Linked DNA regions of Saccharomyces cerevisiae S288C. The protein of the gene in region 2 interacts with the protein of the main gene of each other region in a pairwise test. Each region holds a gene or a part of one and is shown on either strand. Other genes may lie near its edges.

Region 1 (6,885 bases), on a different chromosome or scaffold from region 2:
TGAAGAGACAAAAAAAATTGCGAATAAGTTATATGAAAATACGAAAGGTAAAACGAAAAGATCAAAATTATTCAAAAAATTTTGGTATGGTGGATCTGAGTCAATTCTATTCAATAAATTAGAAAGCATCGCGGAACAAGAAACTCCAAAGACACCGGTACTGGGATGTGGTATTACCTATTCACTTATGAAGAAAAATCTGAGGGCGAATTCCTTTCTACCTTCAAGAATCAATTGGGCCATCCAGTCATCTGGAGTGGATTATCTACATCTTCTTTGTTGCTCCATGGAATATATTATTAAGAAATATAACCTTGAGGCAAGGCTTTGCATTTCCATCCATGATGAGATTAGATTTTTGGTGAGCGAAAAGGACAAATACAGAGCTGCTATGGCTTTGCAAATCAGCAACATATGGACGAGAGCAATGTTTTGCCAGCAAATGGGGATAAATGAATTACCGCAAAACTGTGCCTTTTTCTCGCAAGTAGATATTGATTCTGTCATACGTAAAGAAGTCAATATGGACTGCATAACCCCCTCGAACAAAACCGCCATTCCTCATGGGGAGGCGCTTGATATCAATCAACTGCTAGACAAATCCAATAGTAAATTGGGTAAACCAAATCTCGATATCGACAGCAAAGTATCACAATATGCCTATAACTACAGAGAACCTGTATTTGAAGAATATAATAAATCTTATACTCCAGAGTTCTTAAAATATTTTCTTGCGATGCAAGTCCAGTCAGATAAGCGCGATGTGAATCGGCTAGAAGATGAGTATCTGCGGGAGTGTACATCCAAAGAATACGCTAGAGATGGGAACACTGCAGAGTACAGCCTCCTAGACTATATAAAGGATGTCGAGAAGGGCAAAAGGACTAAAGTACGTATTATGGGATCCAATTTTTTAGATGGTACCAAAAATGCCAAAGCTGATCAACGAATCAGATTACCTGTCAATATGCCAGATTATCCCACACTTCATAAAATTGCTAACGATTCAGCAATCCCAGAAAAGCAATTGCTGGAGAACAGGAGAAAGAAGGAAAACAGGATAGATGACGAAAATAAGAAAAAATTAACCAGAAAAAAGAATACCACGCCTATGGAAAGGAAGTACAAAAGAGTGTATGGTGGCAGGAAGGCATTTGAAGCGTTCTATGAATGTGCAAATAAACCGTTAGACTATACTTTGGAGACAGAAAAACAATTCTTTAATATTCCTATAGATGGAGTGATTGACGACGTTCTGAACGACAAATCTAATTATAAAAAGAAACCATCACAAGCAAGAACGGCATCATCATCGCCAATAAGAAAGACTGCGAAAGCAGTACATTCCAAAAAATTGCCGGCAAGGAAGTCAAGCACTACAAATAGAAATTTGGTTGAGCTGGAAAGGGACATTACTATTTCTAGAGAGTACTAGGCAAAATCTGCATTAGCTTTCGCATTTGTATTTATATATACAGCACATTATAATATTATTTTTTTATTTATTTCTACTTACTTTTTTTCGCCAAATGAGAAAACAAAAGTAAGTTGCCCCTATTAGAAAAAGAGTTAACATTAGGAAACGGGGACAAAACAAAAGGTAGAATTCAAAATAGGAATTCAAAACCCAAATTATCTGCATCTTCTCGTTAGCTAAGATTTTATAGATCATTGCAGGCTCGATAAATTTTACATGGTAACGAAACATGTCGTTTGATTGGCTTAATGTTCCGGGATTGGACTTAAGCAGCGGGGACCAAGCAGAAAAGAGGCCATCGAATGGATTAGGACCACCCAGTGTGTCTTTTGATTTTGGTATAAATACTGCTGCTCCACATGATTCCAGCTTTTGGGATCAGGGATCAAGAAGTCACAGTGATACAACTTTGTCTTACAGAAATAATCACTCAAATACAGCAGCTGATAATGCCACTAACGTGAGCTCTCCTCAAAAGGATAATCCACCTAATGGGGAGGTACGAACACTTTCTGGAGGCGATGTGTACGCGGAGTCACCAGAAGACATGCAAGTCCCATTGTCTTTATCACAAAACCAACTTACCCATGAAGAAATAAGGACATATCTAAGATGGTACCACTATATATGTTTGAGAACCCATGGAAAACTAGTAAGATTGAACGACGTGTTTAGGTTCTTGACCAATTTTAATTTATCACAAAAAGTAAAAGATAGAATTGTGGAAATTTTCCGTAGCTGTAAAAATGCGTTAAATATTGGTCAATTTTTCGCTGTTTTAAGATTAGTTTCTAGAGCTATTATATATGGCATCTTACCTCTAAGACGCATGATCTTGGAAAAGGCACCTGTTCCCAAACCACGTCCTATCCTAAGTAGTGAGAATCACGAAGAGGTGTACGAGGAGGTGGAAGACGATGATAGTTCTGCCAAAACTGGTGATCAAAAGGTCGATTTTGACTCATTTGCTTCATTGCTGTTGACTGGTAAGACAACGAGAAAAAGAGTCAGGAGAAGAATCAAAAATTTGAATTTTAAGAGTAAGAAGGTTAGGTTTTCAGAGCATATAACATTTCAAGACCCTCCAAACCTCAATCAAGAATCATCTAATAATAGTGAAGCAAGAAAGCAAGATCCTGATGCAGAAGATGAAGATCAGGATTCTAATAATGACAGTCCTTTGGATTTCACATTGCCCATGGATCAATTATTAAAGAGGCTATATAAGCGGAGAAAAAACAGCGGATTAGTTTCGAGTTTGCCCAGCGAACAACAAGAAACTGAGGAGGAGAAGAAAGTTTTGGAGGATATGAAGGATTCCTTGTCCCATTTCAAACAAATACAGACTGTTGATTCTGCCTCATTGCCAATTTCATCGGTATTTTTACAGAATGGCAATACTCTACCAACTAGCAATGTGAATAACACCACTGTTCCACAGCAACTTCCGTTAGAACCTTTGAAGCCAACCGCCACAGGTTCAGCTAATCACCTGGTGCGAGAAGAATATAATCAGGGGTTGCATCCAAGCAACGGTGCCATCCAAACAGGTTTACAACCTTTAAAACCAACAGCAACGGGCTCTGCAAATTATTTGATGCGAAGTCATATGGAACAACCTCAGTCTATCAAACCTTCGAGTACACCAGAAACAGTTACAAACTCTGGGGGACTTCAACCTTTGAAACCTACCGCCACAGGTTCTGCAAATTACTTGATGAAACAGCATATCTCACCTTCAGTTAATAACCCAGTATCTTCGATGTTTCAGGCGCAATTTACGAACCAATCTTCATCTCCACAAAGTACAGGACCAGCATTTCTGAATTCTCCGAACATTACTCTTCCTCAAAGCAATCAACAGCAACCTTACCAAGAGGTTAATCCGACTCAAGCGAAAATTGAACCATCTAACATATCGCCTCAACACACCTACTCTAACAATGTTCGGATTAATAATGGTAACATCGTATCCATGCCGAAAGTAGAAATAACTGGTGCATTCCCCCCTCAAAACACTCTTCCTCAACATCAGCAATCGCATTTGCTTTCTCCTCAAAATACGATCCCGCAGCACCAACGGTCGCAATTGATATCTCCACAAAATACCTTCACTCAAAATCAGCCCATTCTTTCTCCGCAACATACTTATTCCAATAATCAAGCAACAATGATATCCCCCCAGAATACGTATACTAATAATCAACAGCAGCCCCAACATCTTCCACCTCCTCCACCTCCACGCGCTCAGCAGCAGCAACAAGGGGCCATTGTGCCACCTCAACATATGTACTCTAACGTGCAAAAGCAGAATAATTTGGTGCCGACCCAACCCTCCTATACAAATTCACCAAGCATACAATCTCCAAATTTTTTGTCACCTCAGAATGCTGCTAATAGTTACTTTCAATCTTTACTTTCTTCTTCACCATCTCCAAATCCTACGCCATCAAATGCGTCTACTGTTAATGGCAATAACGCCAGTAATGGCATAAGTTCATTCCAAAATACTAGTGCGGCAATGAACAATACTCAATCTCATCAGACGTATATTCAGCAGCAACAACAACAACAAACTCAACAACGAATATATGGTGGCCAACTTTCTCAAATGCAACAACATCCGGGGCAACTTCACTTAAACAACAGTGATATACATAGCCAACCTAACAAGCCTAATTACGGAATGCTAGGGCAGCAAGTTCATCAACAGCAACAGCAACAGCAGCAGCAATTTCCATTCACTGCAGATGTTAATAGATCCAATTCAAGCGATATTTTGGGTAACTTGCAGTCATTGCAGCAGCAAGTCGATGCTTTACAAATCCAATATAATAGGAGACCATAGTATCGTAAGCTAAACGAGGTGTATAGTTTTGAAAGATAATATATGTAGGTATATGTGTACATAAAGTCACAAAAGTGATGTAATTTATGAACACCTGTTTACTAGCATTATTTATTGTCTTGATTATTGAGCTAGTCTTTTAGTTTCACCAAACATTTAGCAACATGGCGTAAACCTCTGAACAATAGTTAACTAATTTTGCATATACAATGAATGTAGCCAGTAATATTTAATTATTTCTTTAATTTTTTGCTTTTCTTTGGAACCCGCACCAGCCAGTATAAAAATATTGCTGCACAATAGTCAAAGACAATATATGCACTAAAAATGCCATAGTTCATCCATCTACGTGAATACGAAGAACTCACAGTCGCCAGATAATCATTGGTAGAACTGAATTGACAAAAGTGACATTCAGTTTCGGAACTCCCATCGAGCAGATAACCCGTCCCGGTGGATTGCATATAAGGTTCCATATATTCCGAGCATGTCATACCGCTTGGAGGAACAATTTTTAAAAGTTCGTTGCTGGAACAAACGACACTAGCATTGGCCAGTCCTACCGATAGCAGAGCATCAATGAGGTATGTCAGTGGCGATACTCTATACATAAAAATCCAGAATCTTGGTAGAATATTTGGCGTAGCCAGAACACCGCAGAAAGATAATGACATTATAAAGAAAAGTGAAGCGAGATTCGCAGCATTTTCTGCAATTTCAATGCATGAAATCACTAATACCCCCATTGAACTGATGTAGACGTAAAACGCGCACGCAAATAACCAAAATAAAGCTCCTCGTTCATGAAGTTGATTTGCATAAGAAGCATTTCTGTAAAATCCAACAGGATAATAATAGACGAAAAAAGCTATAGTACCGGCCAGTAAATTCCAAGGGATTTCCACGAGAATCTGCGATACAATAAATGCTTTCCACGAAAAGGTTCTTGATGGCCTTTCTCTAGCTTCATAAAGTTCCCTCTGCTGAACGAAAAGTGGTAAATATTGTTGCAATATTGGGTTGAATACCACTGTAAACATAAAAATGGCCAGCATTTGATTCTGTAGGCCCTGTAATGATGTATTCGCCTTGAAAAAAGTGAAGCCTATGAAGAGTTCAGACACAATTGTTGAAAAAAATTTTGACCATAAGTAAAATGGTGTTCTCCAATATTGATGGAATAATCGATAACTCACCAATTTGATCTGGTACAAAGTTGACGTAGCGAACTCCTTCTGCTCCTCATTTGACGAACCTTCCGTCCGTTTAGGCAATTCTCGTTCCATCCAGTCCAACTCTTTCTGCATTTCCCTATATTCTTCAGAATCTCTCCAAATGGCAAAATAATCTTGACTAGCGTGAGTTCCTGGTGCAGCACCTACTATTTCTAACATCCATTCGGCTGGATTGGCATCTGGTGGGCATTTATGGGCACCATGAGCTTCGAAATAGTTAATCATTGTTTTGCAACCTTTCCCTAGCTCTCCAAAATATACAGTTTGTCCGCCCTCTTGCAAAAATAGTAACCTATCAAACTCTTGCATTAAGAGAGCAGAAGGTTGATGAATGGTACATAAAATTGCTTGTCCGCGACTAGCCAATTTCTTCATTAATTGACAAGTTGACCATGCAGTTTGGGAATCAAGCCCAGACGTGGGCTCATCTAAAAATACCAACAGTTTTGGTTTGGCAGCTAACTCCACACCTATGGTTAACCTTTTTCTTTGTTCCACATTTAAACCTTCACCAGGAACGCCTACTATGGCATCAGCATAAAGTTTCATCTCCAATACCTCAATGACTTCTTCAACGTATTTATCTTTCTCCTCGATGGATACATCATCGGCTTGACGCAGGTACGCGGAAAACCTTAATGACTCTCTCACAGTTGCGGTTTTCAAATGCAAATCCTGCTGCTGACAATAACCAATTGATCTGGGGAAAGACTGGTCCCGCGGTCTACCATCTACGAATACATCACCAGTGATTAAACCCATCGTGGTTCTCTCGGCAAGACAATCTAATAACGTTGTTTTTCCTGCACCAGATGCGCCAATCAAGGCAGTTAGTGTACCAGGCTTGACCCAACCATCAACATTATCCAAAATTCTCCTCTTCCCATTCTTAATCGGGATATCGTAGCATAAGTTTTTCCAATGAAAAATCGCTTGTGATTTGGACAATTCAATGTCATCACTTTTACTAAAACTATTGCTTTGAGACGCAGAAGATGAAGGAGATGAATAATGCTCCTTGGCGACAGTTTTATCGTTACCCATTATAGCTGCATCAGAATCGCGTAAAAATCTTGAATCAGTCGCACTTGAATTGTTGTTCATCTCTACATCTTTCTCAGCATCAGATGTTGACAACGTTGGTTGGTTTTTCTTTTTCTTCTCAGAGACAATACCCTTCTTCTTCATCTTTTTAACCACACTATGGGGAAATACTAACATCTCACCATTTTGCTTTGCTCCTTCATTGTATTCACAAAAGAATAAATACAGAAATAAGAAAAAAATAATGTATGCTAAACCAATACCAACAGACCGCCATTTGT
Region 2 (7,233 bases):
CATGCCGAGTGCTACTATAGTACTTTTCTTTATTACTACGTATGTAAATTGTAACAAATGTGTACTTTTATGTGTGTTCTTAAATGGGAAACTACTTAGCGTTTTGTTCATTTCCAGTGTTAAGTAGGAAGAATGACTGAGCGAAAAAAACCGTAGAAGTAGAACTTAAAATAAGAACGGAGGCTAAACCACCAAAACAGCTCATCAACAGTTAAAACACCACCAATATTTCCAGAAAAAAGAACTGTAGATATAGTCTCATTAGTATTTAGAAGAAAGAGGATTTTGCAATGGCAGGGGATAGTATAAGCGCTGACGGCACTGGCGTCCATCCAGTTGAACTGTCGGTGTATTCAGTATTGTCCACCGATTTAGACGGACTGTATCAATCGATCAATGAATTACGCGAGTCGCAAGCACTACTCATCCTTATGCTTCGGAAGGTTCGCGATAAACTTCGAAGAGAAGGTCAAGTCCTTTATGACCCAGAACCATTCAAACCAACCATGGATAAACTGGCTGACTTATCTGCCCGTGTGCGCATTCTCTCACAAAGATACGAGGAGCTTCAGGGGAATGCTAGAGCCCTCAACAACTAAGTAAACATACACATGTATAGCATAATCTTCGATTCCTTTTACCCATTCGTAGATGGCATCGACAGTGTACTTATAATACTACCGTGAGAAACGATATTAAGAACAAGACGAAAAATGGTGGAAAATCTGGAAAGCAAGAACGTAGCACGCTAGAGTTATTCTAGCTTGTCAGCTCGACTGTTTAATTATTATTGTTATTATATTAACATTAACGTAATAACCATTGAACTACATTAAAGAAATAACTGTCTCGCTTATATCTGGTCTATTTTTTGTTTTTTGCCTTTCCTTTTAAATTCTTTATAACCTTGAAAACAAAAAATCACATTGGTAAATTACAATCATTTATTACCAAATTTGTCCATTAACTATTTTAGCGTGACTGACTGATAAAGACTGTTTCACTCTCTTTATTTATTCATAACAAAAATTCAGATATTTTGAACTATAAAGTACTAAAGGCAGAAAAATTAATAGCAAATTAAGCGATGGCAATCAAGTCATTGGAATCGTTCCTTTTCGAAAGAGGTCTAGTAGGATCCTATGCCATTGAGGCTCTGAATAATTGTACCCTGGATATAGACGTCAACCATTATGTTTCCAGATTGTTGACCAATAAAAGAGAACAGTATTTGGATGCCATTGGTGGTTTCCCTACCAGTTTAAAAATGTATTTGGAAAGCGACTTAAAGATATTCAAGGATTTCAATATTACCCCTATTTTTGTCTTTAATGGTGGTTTGACTTACAACCAATTAGAGGCATCGGGCCATTTTACTGCAGCATCTGCTTCTGCGTCGATTTCGTCAACCACTACTTCCAGCAGCGGTACCAATGCCACAACAAGATCCAACACGGAATCCGTTCTTTTGCAGAGAAGTAGAGGCTGGACACAATGGAACAACTTGATTAGTTCGAATCAGAATTCCTATATTGACCAGCCTATTCAACCCCAAGAGCCATTCAGACATAACACCACAATTGACTCCAAAGCTTACCAAAACGATTTGATCGCTTATTTTATTGAGCATGGGTATATGTACCAAGTGGCTCCTTACTCCTCTTGGTTTCAACTAGCATATTTATTGAATAGCGCTTATATTGATGCGATCTACGGCCCAACTGATTGTTTGATGCTAGATTGTGTTGATAGGTTCATTTTGGGTATGGAATTTCCAAATAAAGAATTTCGATTCATTGACAGGTCAAGAGTGATGAAGGATTTAGGTTGTACCCATGAAGAGTTTATCGATATTGCTATGGCTGTAGGTAATGATTTGCAACCAACAACTTTACCACCATTGCAAATTTATCCAGTTCCTCAGCTGTTTGATATTGCTCTAGAAATGGTTTTGAATACAGGTACAAACTTCTATGCCTATCAACTATCTACAACCTTACAAAATGACTCCAAAGAGAATATTCAAAACTACCAAAGAGGTATTTCTGCATTAAGATACATGCCAGTCTTGAAAGATACAGGTAAAGTTGAATTATTTGTTCAAGAGATCGTTGTTTCAGAGGAGGACAGTGAAAAGAATAACAAGGATGGAAAAAAGAGTAATCTTTCCTCACCATCTTCTGCGTCATCTAGTGCTTCTCCTGCTACCACCGTGACTAAGAACGCTAGTGAAAAGTTAACTTATGAAAAATCCAGCACTAAAGAGGTTAGAAAACCAAGAGATATTCCTAATGATGTTCATGATTTTATCGGCCAAATGTTACCTCATGAATACTATTTCTATAGATCCATAGGACTGGTTACTGGAAAATTATTTGACGCAATTGTCACAGGAGTTTATCCTGAAGAGCCTCCATTGGGCGGAGGATCTTCTACATCCTACAAGAAACTGGTTTCCAAGTCCGTTGAAATCTTCAAGAATAAAGAAATCAATTTATTAACTCAACCAATTAACAGATACTATCAGATTAAACAAATTAAACAAGTCAAGTGGTATGCGGCAAATGAGCCTACCACTTTGACCAACAGGATGTCACCTTCTATGTTTGAAACTATCAACCACTTAATTGTTAAAACAGAAACGTCTGATGAAAAGGAATTTTCTATCTCTGAGTTCATTACAACAATAAATGGTTCTAGCAATATGGCGAAAGATTTTATATCTGAAAAAGTCATTTTCCCAAACTCCGTACCAATCGAATCCAAATTAAACTCACCATTTAATTTATTGTCGACCAATTTCTTAAGATTACTAGTACTATTGGAGTTCTTCACTTTTGATTTCAAGGAAAAACTGCTAGAGCCTACGAGATGGGGTGAGGTATTCTTAAAATTAAATGAGCTCAATATTGACAGTAAGTATCACGAATCAGTTATTATCTTTTTGGTATTTTTGAAATGCGATGTCTTAAAACTTGACGAAGAAGTTCAACCACCGGCTCCCTCAGCCCTATCTCAAGCCACTCTTCGTTCATATCCTGAAGAATCATTGTACGTCCTATTGATTACGCGTGTATTAACTTTATTTCAAGTGGACCAAAAGCCATCAAATTACCACGGACCAATTGATAAGAAAACTTTGATCTTTAGAGATCATCTTTCTTTCATAAAGGAAAATTTAAATGAACTTTTTGAAGCCGTTTTGATCTCATCTTTAACTTCTGGCGAGTTTAATAGATTATCACTTGATAACTTTGGTTGGGCAAGAAAGATTGTTAGATATTTACCGTTCAAATTAGATTCCCCAAATACTATAATGGCTATGATGTGGGAGTTTTTCTTACAAAAATATCTTCACAATGGTAATGCCAAGAATGATGCATTGTCTTTAGTTGCTACTGAATTCAACACTTACAAATCCACACCAAATCTTGATGAACAGTTTGTCGAATCCCATAGATTTCTTCTTGAAATTTCAAAAGTCATGCAGGAGCTAAATGCTGCGAAATTAATCGATGAAAACGTGTTTAAATTATTCACTAAAGCAGTTGAGTTTACTACAACAGCTCTATCTAGCTGAAGCGTGAGAATGAGTATGATGGAAATAGTGGAACTATTTAAAAAGCACCCAATAAAGAAAGATAGTTACTGTAAAGAGGTATATTATCATTATTCAGAGGGTTCAAGTACCATCATCAAGATTTAACACAAGCACAGTGAATAGCAACAATTAAAGAAAAAACTAATCAAAATCACGGTAGAAATAGGAGAAAAAAAGTAAAACAGAAACTAAGTCACTGTTTCTTTATATGACATATTCTATTATATAAATATGTAAAGAACGCTGAACAGTAAAAATTTTATGAAATTCCGGCAGAGAAGAAAAGGAAAAAATAAGTATACACCACACCGTTACTGGATAGATTGAAGTTCAAATCAAAAAAGTTTACAAGTGAAATAACAAACAGTAAATATTACACATTCATGTACATAAAATTAATTATCGGTGTCAATTGATTTCTGCTTGTAATGCTTGCAATTCGTGTCTCTTATTGTTCAAGTAATTCTCCAATACTTCAACCTGCTGTTCAATGTTATCCAAGTCATCAGTTATCGACCTGATGTTAATCCGCTTAGAAAGTTTTGAGCCTCCTTGAGTTTTTTCACTCTTTTTGTAGTTCAAAAGGCCTTCTAATTGTTCTCTCATGTTCGCAACTTGATCATCTGTCAGAGAAGCATATTTTTGCTTTATACTGTCTTCATTTGAAAGCACGTTACTGCCACTGCTATCGGAACTCGAGTTCTGCCCATTGTCACGCAGATTGTCCACTTCGTTAGCTTCTTCTTTTCTCTTTGTAGGAGGTTGAGAGGACCGTAAATCATAGCTCAGTTGTTTTTTATTGCACACCTCCGCCAGAGAATTTGGTAAACTTGCTGGAATTTCAGCACCCAAATCATTTCTTTGTCTTAAACAGTGAATAAAATAAAAAGTAGGATCTCTATCAATTGATGGCAAATTTTGTGGGTTAATTAAACTCCAAACCTTATTTAAATCTGTCTTACTGATGTTAAAAAATTTTGTGGAAAGTTTTGTTGACAGTTCGTTGAATGTAATAGTACCATCGGTTAGTTTTGCACAGCTATTATAAATTTTTTCATATTGATTCAAATCATCTGGAGACATGTACCAATCTACTTTGATTTCCTTCTTTGGAGGCAAGTCTGCGTTTTCTATTTGCTTGCGCTTCTTTCTTTCTTTGATTAGATTCACCTTACTCCCTGGAATCAACCAATCAGGCAATTCATCTGGAACAGAGCTAATGTTTTTATTAACCATATCAAATATTAATCTCATGCAAATTACAAATTCCTCAAAGTCTAAATTGTCGTCGTCATCAATATCAGCTAAAAACCAAATCTTGTTTAGAACCGATGAATCTAATTTGGAATTATAAAGAATTGGTAAAACCTGGTCATGGTTTACCTTATTCTCTATTGGTTTCAAACCCGAGAAGATTTGCCAGTATTTTTTTATTTCAAATTGTTCCAACTTGGGCATTTTTCAGAGATCCCTGTTATCTTTACCGGCCTTTCCAATACCCACTAACTCTATGGTTATATTACAATCGTCTGATTATAACAGGCAATTAACCTTGTGTTTCTGACGTTCTTTTCATTCATTCTTGATATGTTAAATCATAGGGGTCCTACACGATCGTCAAATATGATATTTAAAAAGTAATAAATAAAAATGCAGCTTTTTTATTAGCGATGGGAAATATTGAATATTTGAAGGGGCAAATAACGTTTAATTCAATCGAATGACGGTCTAAATGCTGCTGAAAAATTGCGAGACGGACAAGCAGCGAGATATACGGTATGCGTGTTTGTTCAAGGAACTTGATGTTAAGGGAAATGGTCAAGTTACTCTAGATAATCTGATAAGTGCTTTTGAGAAGAACGACCATCCGCTCAAGGGAAATGATGAGGCAATCAAAATGCTGTTTACTGCAATGGATGTTAACAAGGACTCTGTAGTTGATTTAAGCGATTTCAAGAAGTATGCTTCCAATGCCGAATCTCAAATTTGGAACGGCTTCCAGAGGATAGATTTAGATCATGACGGTAAGATTGGCATTAACGAAATAAATAGGTATTTGTCAGACCTCGACAACCAGAGCATATGTAATAATGAACTTAATCATGAACTTTCAAATGAAAAGATGAACAAATTCTCGAGGTTTTTTGAATGGGCGTTTCCAAAGAGAAAAGCCAACATTGCGCTACGAGGCCAGGCTAGCCACAAAAAGAATACTGATAATGATCGGTCAAAGAAAACCACCGACTCAGATTTATACGTTACATATGATCAATGGAGAGACTTTTTGCTGCTGGTACCGAGAAAGCAGGGTTCGAGACTTCATACTGCTTATTCCTATTTTTACCTATTCAACGAAGATGTCGATCTGTCCTCAGAGGGAGATGTTACTCTCATAAACGATTTCATTCGCGGGTTCGGGTTTTTTATTGCTGGTGGTATTTCAGGTGTTATTTCAAGGACTTGTACCGCGCCATTTGATAGACTGAAAGTGTTTCTCATCGCAAGAACGGATCTATCCTCGATCTTGTTAAATTCAAAAACAGATCTCCTTGCTAAAAACCCCAATGCTGACATAAACAAGATATCATCTCCATTAGCAAAGGCTGTCAAAAGCTTATATAGGCAAGGCGGGATAAAGGCTTTTTATGTTGGGAACGGTTTAAACGTCATCAAAGTTTTTCCAGAAAGTTCGATAAAGTTTGGTTCTTTCGAGGTCACCAAGAAAATAATGACCAAATTAGAAGGCTGCCGCGACACAAAAGATCTTTCAAAGTTCTCTACTTACATTGCTGGTGGTTTAGCTGGTATGGCAGCTCAGTTTTCCGTTTATCCTATAGATACTTTGAAATTCAGGGTGCAGTGCGCTCCTTTGGACACAAAGTTGAAGGGGAATAATTTGCTCTTTCAGACTGCAAAAGATATGTTTCGAGAGGGGGGGGGTCAGATTATTTTACAGAGGTGTCACAGTCGGTATAGTGGGCATATTTCCCTATGCTGCATTAGATTTGGGGACTTTTTCTGCCTTAAAAAAATGGTATATTGCCAAACAGGCAAAGACCCTGAACCTACCACAAGATCAGGTCACTCTAAGCAACCTGGTTGTACTTCCAATGGGTGCATTCAGTGGAACTGTAGGAGCTTCTGTTGTTTATCCAATCAATCTTTTAAGAACAAGACTACAAGCCCAAGGAACATATGCACATCCTTATGTGTATAACGGCTTTAAAGATGTTTTGTTAAAGACGCTAGAAAGGGAAGGTTATCAAGGTCTATTTAAAGGTCTAGTACCAACTTTAGCAAAAGTATGTCCAGCAGTTTCCATCAGCTATTTATGTTACGAAAATCTGAAAAAATTCATGAATCTGGAGTAGTGATAATAACATATGCATATGTATCAACTAGTGAATTCTATTTAATTATAAACCGCTGCTGCGGTTTGTGGGCGTACTGTCAGCCAAGCTTTCGTTATAATATATATTCTTTTCAACATGTACATAGCTAGAACTCTAGAAAGCACAGATTAATACCGATTCTAATACAGATTTTAATGACCTCAATAGTTAATTGATATTTGATAAAATATTATAAAAATCGTCTATAACAGAACGCGAAAAGAAAAGACGCGTCTCTCT
Region 3 (5,932 bases), on a different chromosome or scaffold from region 2:
AAGCATCTTTGACGTCATTGGCAGTAACAGGGTTTAATTGATCATCTAAAGCACCTTCAGCGACAATAATTGTGTTATTTCTTCTACCCTTACTTCTGTGTCTTTGGCACACTTCCTTCAATTCGTCCTGCCATTTTCCGTGAGGAACAGCTCTTTCTGGAATAAAAATGTAATCGGCACCGGTAGCAATACCAGCCATCAAGGCCAACCAACCACAATGTCTACCCATAACTTCAACAACAAAGGCACGGGAGTGGGATTTAGCGGTGGCATCAATGTAGTCAACCATTTCACAGATTCTTTCCAAAGCAGAATAAGCACCAATGGTAGAGTCAGTACCAGACATATCATTATCGATGGAACCGACAAGACCAACAATGGACAAATTCTTGTATGGGGCGACTTCTTCTTTAGTGAATCTACCTTCTGCAACCAATTCATCAACCAAAGATGGCCATTCGTGTCTGAAAAGATCAGCACCGGTTAAAGAACCATCACCACCACAAACAACCAAAGCGTCAATACCTTGCGAAATTAAATTGCCTGCAGCTTGTCTACGACCCTCACGCTTTCTGAATTCCATAGAACGAGCAGTACCAATCAAAGTACCACCTTCACTTAACCAACCTCTGACATCTTCCCAAGCCATTTTCTTTAAATATTTACCGCCTCTTAGTAAACCTTCGTAACCTTCGTAAACAGCAAAAACATCACAGCCGAAATGTATACCTGTACGAACAACGGCACGAACAGCGGCATTCATACCTGGAGAATCACCACCAGAAGTCATGACAGCAATCTTCTTCTTCTTTTGAGAAGAGCCCAATGTTTGTCTTAGTAAGTCAGAAGCATCGGAAGAAGCTCTAGAGATGATTTCGTCTTCGGAGGTAGCTTCTAAGAAAGCATCTTTGGAAGTTGGAGCGGAATCGGTTGCATTAGCTAAGCCTGAGAAGGTGATGTTGTTGCCCATTGGATCTTTCAAAAACACTAAGGTATCGGACAATTTTTCGGCTTGTTTTGGGAATTTCTCGACAATCTTGTTCAAATCAGTAGAGAAATAAGTGATTGTGGCGGTTTCGTTGGTGTCGAAAGTTTCATCGATTGGAGCAGACATCACTAAACGAATCTTTAATAGAGCACCTTGACTTTGAGCCTTGTTAGTAGCTTCTTGTTGTGGTATACGGAACCCAGAAGCATCAACCTCACTCAACTTGAAAGATTCTAACCAAACTTCTCTCAAGGAATCTTGGGAAGTCCCTGAAGATAGTAAGCTATTTTCACCATGTTTGAATTTGTTGAAATCTTTCACAGTTGCAAATCCTAGAGTGTGATAAAAGTGAATGGTCTTCTTGAATAAAGCTTCATCATTTGTGATGATAGATCTGAATGCAACACCGTAGCATGAATCTTGAGATTGCATCTTTGATATGATTTTGTTTCAGATTTTTTATATAAAAGCTTTCCCAAATAGTGCTAAAGTGAACTTAGATTTTTTGGTACCTGTTTCGAAATTAAAAATAGAAAAATTTCTCTCCCTATATTGTTATTCTTACTTCAAATTTGTTTATCGTTTATTTACTAGGCGAGACTTGAGTAGACGACAATCCAAATAGAATTAACAGATTTTATTGGTAGAAAGCAATAATATTCTTTAGATGGTTGAGAATAAAGAAGTAAAAAAACCAGTAAAGAGAAAAAGAAAAGGAAGAAAATTAAAGAAAAAGGATGATTACACAAGAAGATAATAAAAAAACTCCTTTATTAAGAGCGGAAGAATTTAATAATGAAGATGGGAATAAGCAAAACAAAAACAAAGAAGGGAAAAAAAATAAAAAATCGTATTTATTTATTTAAAAAATCATGTTGATGACGACAATGGAAAAAAAAAACCGATTTCACTTTCTCATCCTTATATTTTTCAAAGGTTGATGCAAGTCGATCTCAAATCGGATAACGCTGCCAACTGGGAAATTCCGCAATTCCGCAAGAAAAAAAAAAATGTGAAAACGTGATTGCATTTTTTACAGGTCCTAAAGGATTTAGCCCACATATCAAGAGGGTGGCAGTAATTGCACTGATTAAGCATTCGTCAGCATTAGGCGAATGTGTGCATGAATATTGCCAGTGTGCTCGATATTAGAGAGTACATTGAAGAATATTGTACCGGATTATGTACAATAACTTTGTTAATGAGATATTAATTTTCTTTTTTACTAGCCGCTATCCCATGCACGATGCTAAATTTCAAGAAGAAACTGAGATTTAAAAAATTAGTGGAAGCTGATAAAACGGACTATAATGGTGTATGGATTGAGGAATCTCGACATGTTTTTCCATCGTTTTCAACGATGACTGTAACCCGTAGATTGAACCAGGCATGCCAAAGTTAGTTAGATCAGGGTAAAAATTATAGATGAGGTTATATGTATGGTACGTAAAATTTACATGTTTGGATAGTATCATAAAATATAGAAAGGTGGAAGGGATTACCTAAAAATCAGAGTTTATAATATGCAAGGACGGCCTGTTGAGAACAAAAAACTGTAGTATCTATCGCTCACTATATATCTATTAAGTTAGGATTTTCTTGCTGATGCTGCTGTTGTTGCTGTTGTTGATTGATGGGGACAAACGCAGTGGGAACCATAACATACCCTGTTTGCTGACCCTGCATCATTTGTGGTTGCTGCTGCGCACCAGTAGAGGCATACTGAAGTTGACCGGCCACGGGATTCGTCATGTATGTGCCCATTGGTGATGTCACCACGTTTTGAGCCTGAAATGGATTACCTGTTTGACTATGAGCAAGAATCGGGGTGGTTTGTGCTTGTTGGAGGGTAAAAGGATTTGGGGAGTTTTGGAAATTTTGTTGTTGCTGTTCTCTGGCAATATTTTCTAGCGAAAATGGGTTGTTAGACCCCGTTTTTGTTGGATCTAAAGTGCCGGTCATAATTGCATTGTTCTCGGTGGTCGTGTATCCGCCGAACCCTGAGCCGGTGAAATTTGGGGTGTATTGAAGGTTAGAAGCATACATCCCAGTTTGTTGATTATTCAAATTTGGAGTAATCTGTATCTCACTTGGTTGTGGCATTGTAGACGCAGATGTCAACTGTAAAGCCTGTTGCTGTTGTTGCGGTATCAAGAAGGGGTTAGCAGTTGGTTGAGGGACTTGAGCGGTCATTTGTGGCTGGGTTGGTTCGAATGAAAAGGTGTCATTATTTAAATCTTGCTGTTGTGATCCAAATGGGTTGTAAGCATCTTGTGGGACCGTGGGGGAAATGAGCAACTGTTGGTTTTGTAATTGTTGCTCCAGCAGTCTTTTTTGTTCCCTTATCTGTTCCAGTTTCTTCTGCGCTATAGACTTATTCTTGTCATTGCTGTTGTTATTGTGACTACTGGTAGAGCTAATGGCCGTAGATGGTTTTCTATCTTGCTGCGGTTCAGAAGGTTCACCTCTTTGTCTTTTTGTTTCCTCTCTCAAATGCTCCTCAAGGGAGTTAATTAACTTTGTAGTAATATGTTTGATAACGGGGATTTTCAAACCGACAGCTTTTCCTATTTTTAGGTATCTAACAACATATTCTGTCATATCCACGAAATCCTTATAGAGATCCAGTGTTCTTTTTGCGTGCTCAATGGACAATTCGAAGAATGATTCTAAAAGTGTAATGACACCTTCATTAAGAGCATTGTACAGACCTAGTAAATCTTGTACTAACAATTGGAATGCATACAATAACAAATGGTTTTCTAAATCTGAAACAGAGTATTTATTCCTTATCAAGGCATTAATTTGAATTTCCAATGATTCAACATGATCTAGCTCTTCATCCATTGAAAGCTGGTTCTTACTGCCCAGCTTTAGCGAGGAGTAATTGTCTCGTAGGTGATCCATACCTAGCCTGCCATACTCTTCACAACGTGTTTTTAGGTATTCGTCGTATCTCTGCAAAGCCCTCATATCATTGGAAGACCACTTAGTAGTATGCGAAATCTTTCTCAATTGGAAAACATCCAAATTATGGGAATAGTGCCTTAGCGTGACATCTTTTTCGCCTTGTTGTATCATCAGATGCAACACAATCAATGCCTTATAAACAATGGTCCAGGCTGTATCAGACAACCTTATATCCAATGCGTGGGTAATCTCTTGCAATCCTCTTGCGCTCGAAGTGCCCGAGAGAATAGGGTCCACATATTTTTGCTTTGGAGGGGCCATCTTTATTTTGGTCGCCCCTTTAACCAACTTAGTATATAATGAAGACATTGTTTCACAAACACGCCTCTATATCTATTATAGGGGTAGCCGAGACAGTCGCGCTTGTATGCTTGATATTGTTACTCTCGTAGATGTTAGCAAGCGTAGCAAATTGGTACTCCTGCTACAGATTTATTTTTTCTCCTTCTAAAATTATAACTCAAGCAAGAAGCCCTAATAACAAGTTAACCAGACTAATAAGTCGACTTTTTCCTCGAATGTAGAAAAGAAACTTTTCTACGCAGCTGCAAACTTAATCTATCCCTCCACCAAAGCAAAATGAAAACAAAGCCATACTGGGAAAAATCTGAAAAAAAAAATGGTAGGAGTAAAAGAAAAGAAAAAATAAAGGTTACCCTGCAGTTTGGATAGTCGGGTAACATTTGGCCCTTTTCCTCCTTGATTGGATATTATTACCCCGATTACCCCTCATCTTGGGAGTGCCCCGCTTTTATTTCTCCCGCCAATCGGCTATTAACGGCTTTACGTCATTCCGTGGGCGGGTCAAGCGAGCCGCTCCCTGGTTTGGTCACGCAAAACCGAAAGGCTCAAACAAAACTAAGGCCATCATATATATATATGCGGCTGCGTGCGTGTATTCTCCCGGATAATATGGTGCGTTGCAATTGGAGTATTGGAGAAAATTTTCTTTTCCCTTTCATTACGGCGGAAATACTTCATATAAAAAAAAAGAATACAATCAGTCTTTAAGACTATACGCATAAGCATTCAAGACACATAGAAACACAAACCTATATTTTTAATGTCAGCATCAGCTTTTAATTTTGCCTTTAGAAGATTTTGGAATAGTGAAACAGGCCCTAAAACAGTACACTTCTGGGCCCCAACTTTGAAGTGGGGGCTGGTCTTCGCAGGGCTAAATGATATTAAGAGGCCTGTTGAGAAGGTATCAGGAGCACAAAATTTATCTTTATTAGCGACGGCACTGATTTGGACGCGTTGGTCGTTTGTCATCAAGCCCAAGAACTATCTGTTAGCTTCCGTCAATTTTTTCCTGGGTTGCACTGCAGGCTACCATCTAACAAGAATTGCTAACTTTAGGATACGGAACGGTGATTCTTTTAAACAGGTTATTCACTACATAATAAAAGGGGAGACTCCTGCAGCCGTCGCAGCAAAGCAAACTGCATCCACATCGATGAACAAAGGTGTGATCGGTACTAATCCGCCAATAACGCACTGATTACGTAAACGATAATATGTTCCTGAACTCGCATTTTTTTAATGATTTTTTATGACCTCTTATATATTCTTTCATTATATAACCTCTATATTACATCAAAAGATGGAAAAATATAAAAAAATTAAAAAAAAAAAAAAGAAATTTTTTCCAAAAGAGTATATTTATATGTATGTATACATGTAGGGAAAATAAGAAACTTTATTAATAGTAAAAAAGCATATATACTTTATTATTAACTCTTTTGTTTTTCTCGAGAAGCTTAATTTTGGGTCAATTCAACGACCTTTTTAGCAGCAGGATCTAATTCATCAAACGAATAAATCTTCACGCCTGACTTATTGATAATGTCGCGGCCTTCTTCTACTTTGGTACCTTGCAAACGTGCCACAATGGGGACCCTAACTTCTAGTTCTCTGGCGGCTTCTACCAGCCCCAGGGCAACATAGTCACATCTTACGATACCGCCGAAA

What was found. The genes of interacting proteins can lie anywhere in the genome.
Region 1: the proteins of END3 (region 2) and SCD5 interact in a two-hybrid assay, tested with the Saccharomyces cerevisiae proteins (2 studies listed by BioGRID).
Region 3: the proteins of END3 (region 2) and YAP1802 interact in a two-hybrid assay, tested with the Saccharomyces cerevisiae proteins (3 studies listed by BioGRID).

The regions. Positions count from the first base shown.
Region 1 is NC_001147.6:934,171-941,055, reverse strand, and holds SCD5 (Scd5p), read left to right. Parts: upstream 1-1,706; coding exon 1,707-4,325; downstream 4,326-6,885. Other genes in the region: DNA-directed DNA polymerase gamma MIP1, read left to right, coding at 1-1,435; ATP-binding cassette multidrug transporter PDR10, read right to left, coding at 4,559-6,885. UniProt on the Saccharomyces cerevisiae protein: Regulates both fluid phase and receptor-mediated endocytosis. Involved in vesicular transport at a late stage of the secretory pathway. Regulates actin cytoskeleton organization.
Region 2 is NC_001146.8:466,044-473,276, forward strand, and holds END3 (End3p), read right to left. Parts: upstream 5,060-7,233; coding exon 4,010-5,059; downstream 1-4,009. Other genes in the region: SNN1 (Snn1p), read left to right, coding at 291-599; MKT1 (Mkt1p), read left to right, coding at 1,088-3,580; Ca(2+)-binding ATP:ADP antiporter SAL1, read left to right, coding at 5,334-6,818. UniProt on the Saccharomyces cerevisiae protein: Component of the PAN1 actin cytoskeleton-regulatory complex required for the internalization of endosomes during actin-coupled endocytosis. The complex links the site of endocytosis to the cell membrane-associated actin cytoskeleton.
Region 3 is NC_001139.9:972,315-978,246, forward strand, and holds YAP1802 (Yap1802p), read right to left. Parts: upstream 4,268-5,932; coding exon 2,561-4,267; downstream 1-2,560. Other genes in the region: PFK1 (6-phosphofructokinase subunit alpha), read right to left, coding at 1-1,420; YGR240C-A (uncharacterized protein), read right to left, coding at 2,263-2,463; MPC3 (mitochondrial pyruvate carrier), read left to right, coding at 5,022-5,462; LSC2 (succinate--CoA ligase (GDP-forming) subunit beta), read right to left, coding at 5,722-5,932. UniProt on the Saccharomyces cerevisiae protein: Involved in endocytosis and clathrin cage assembly.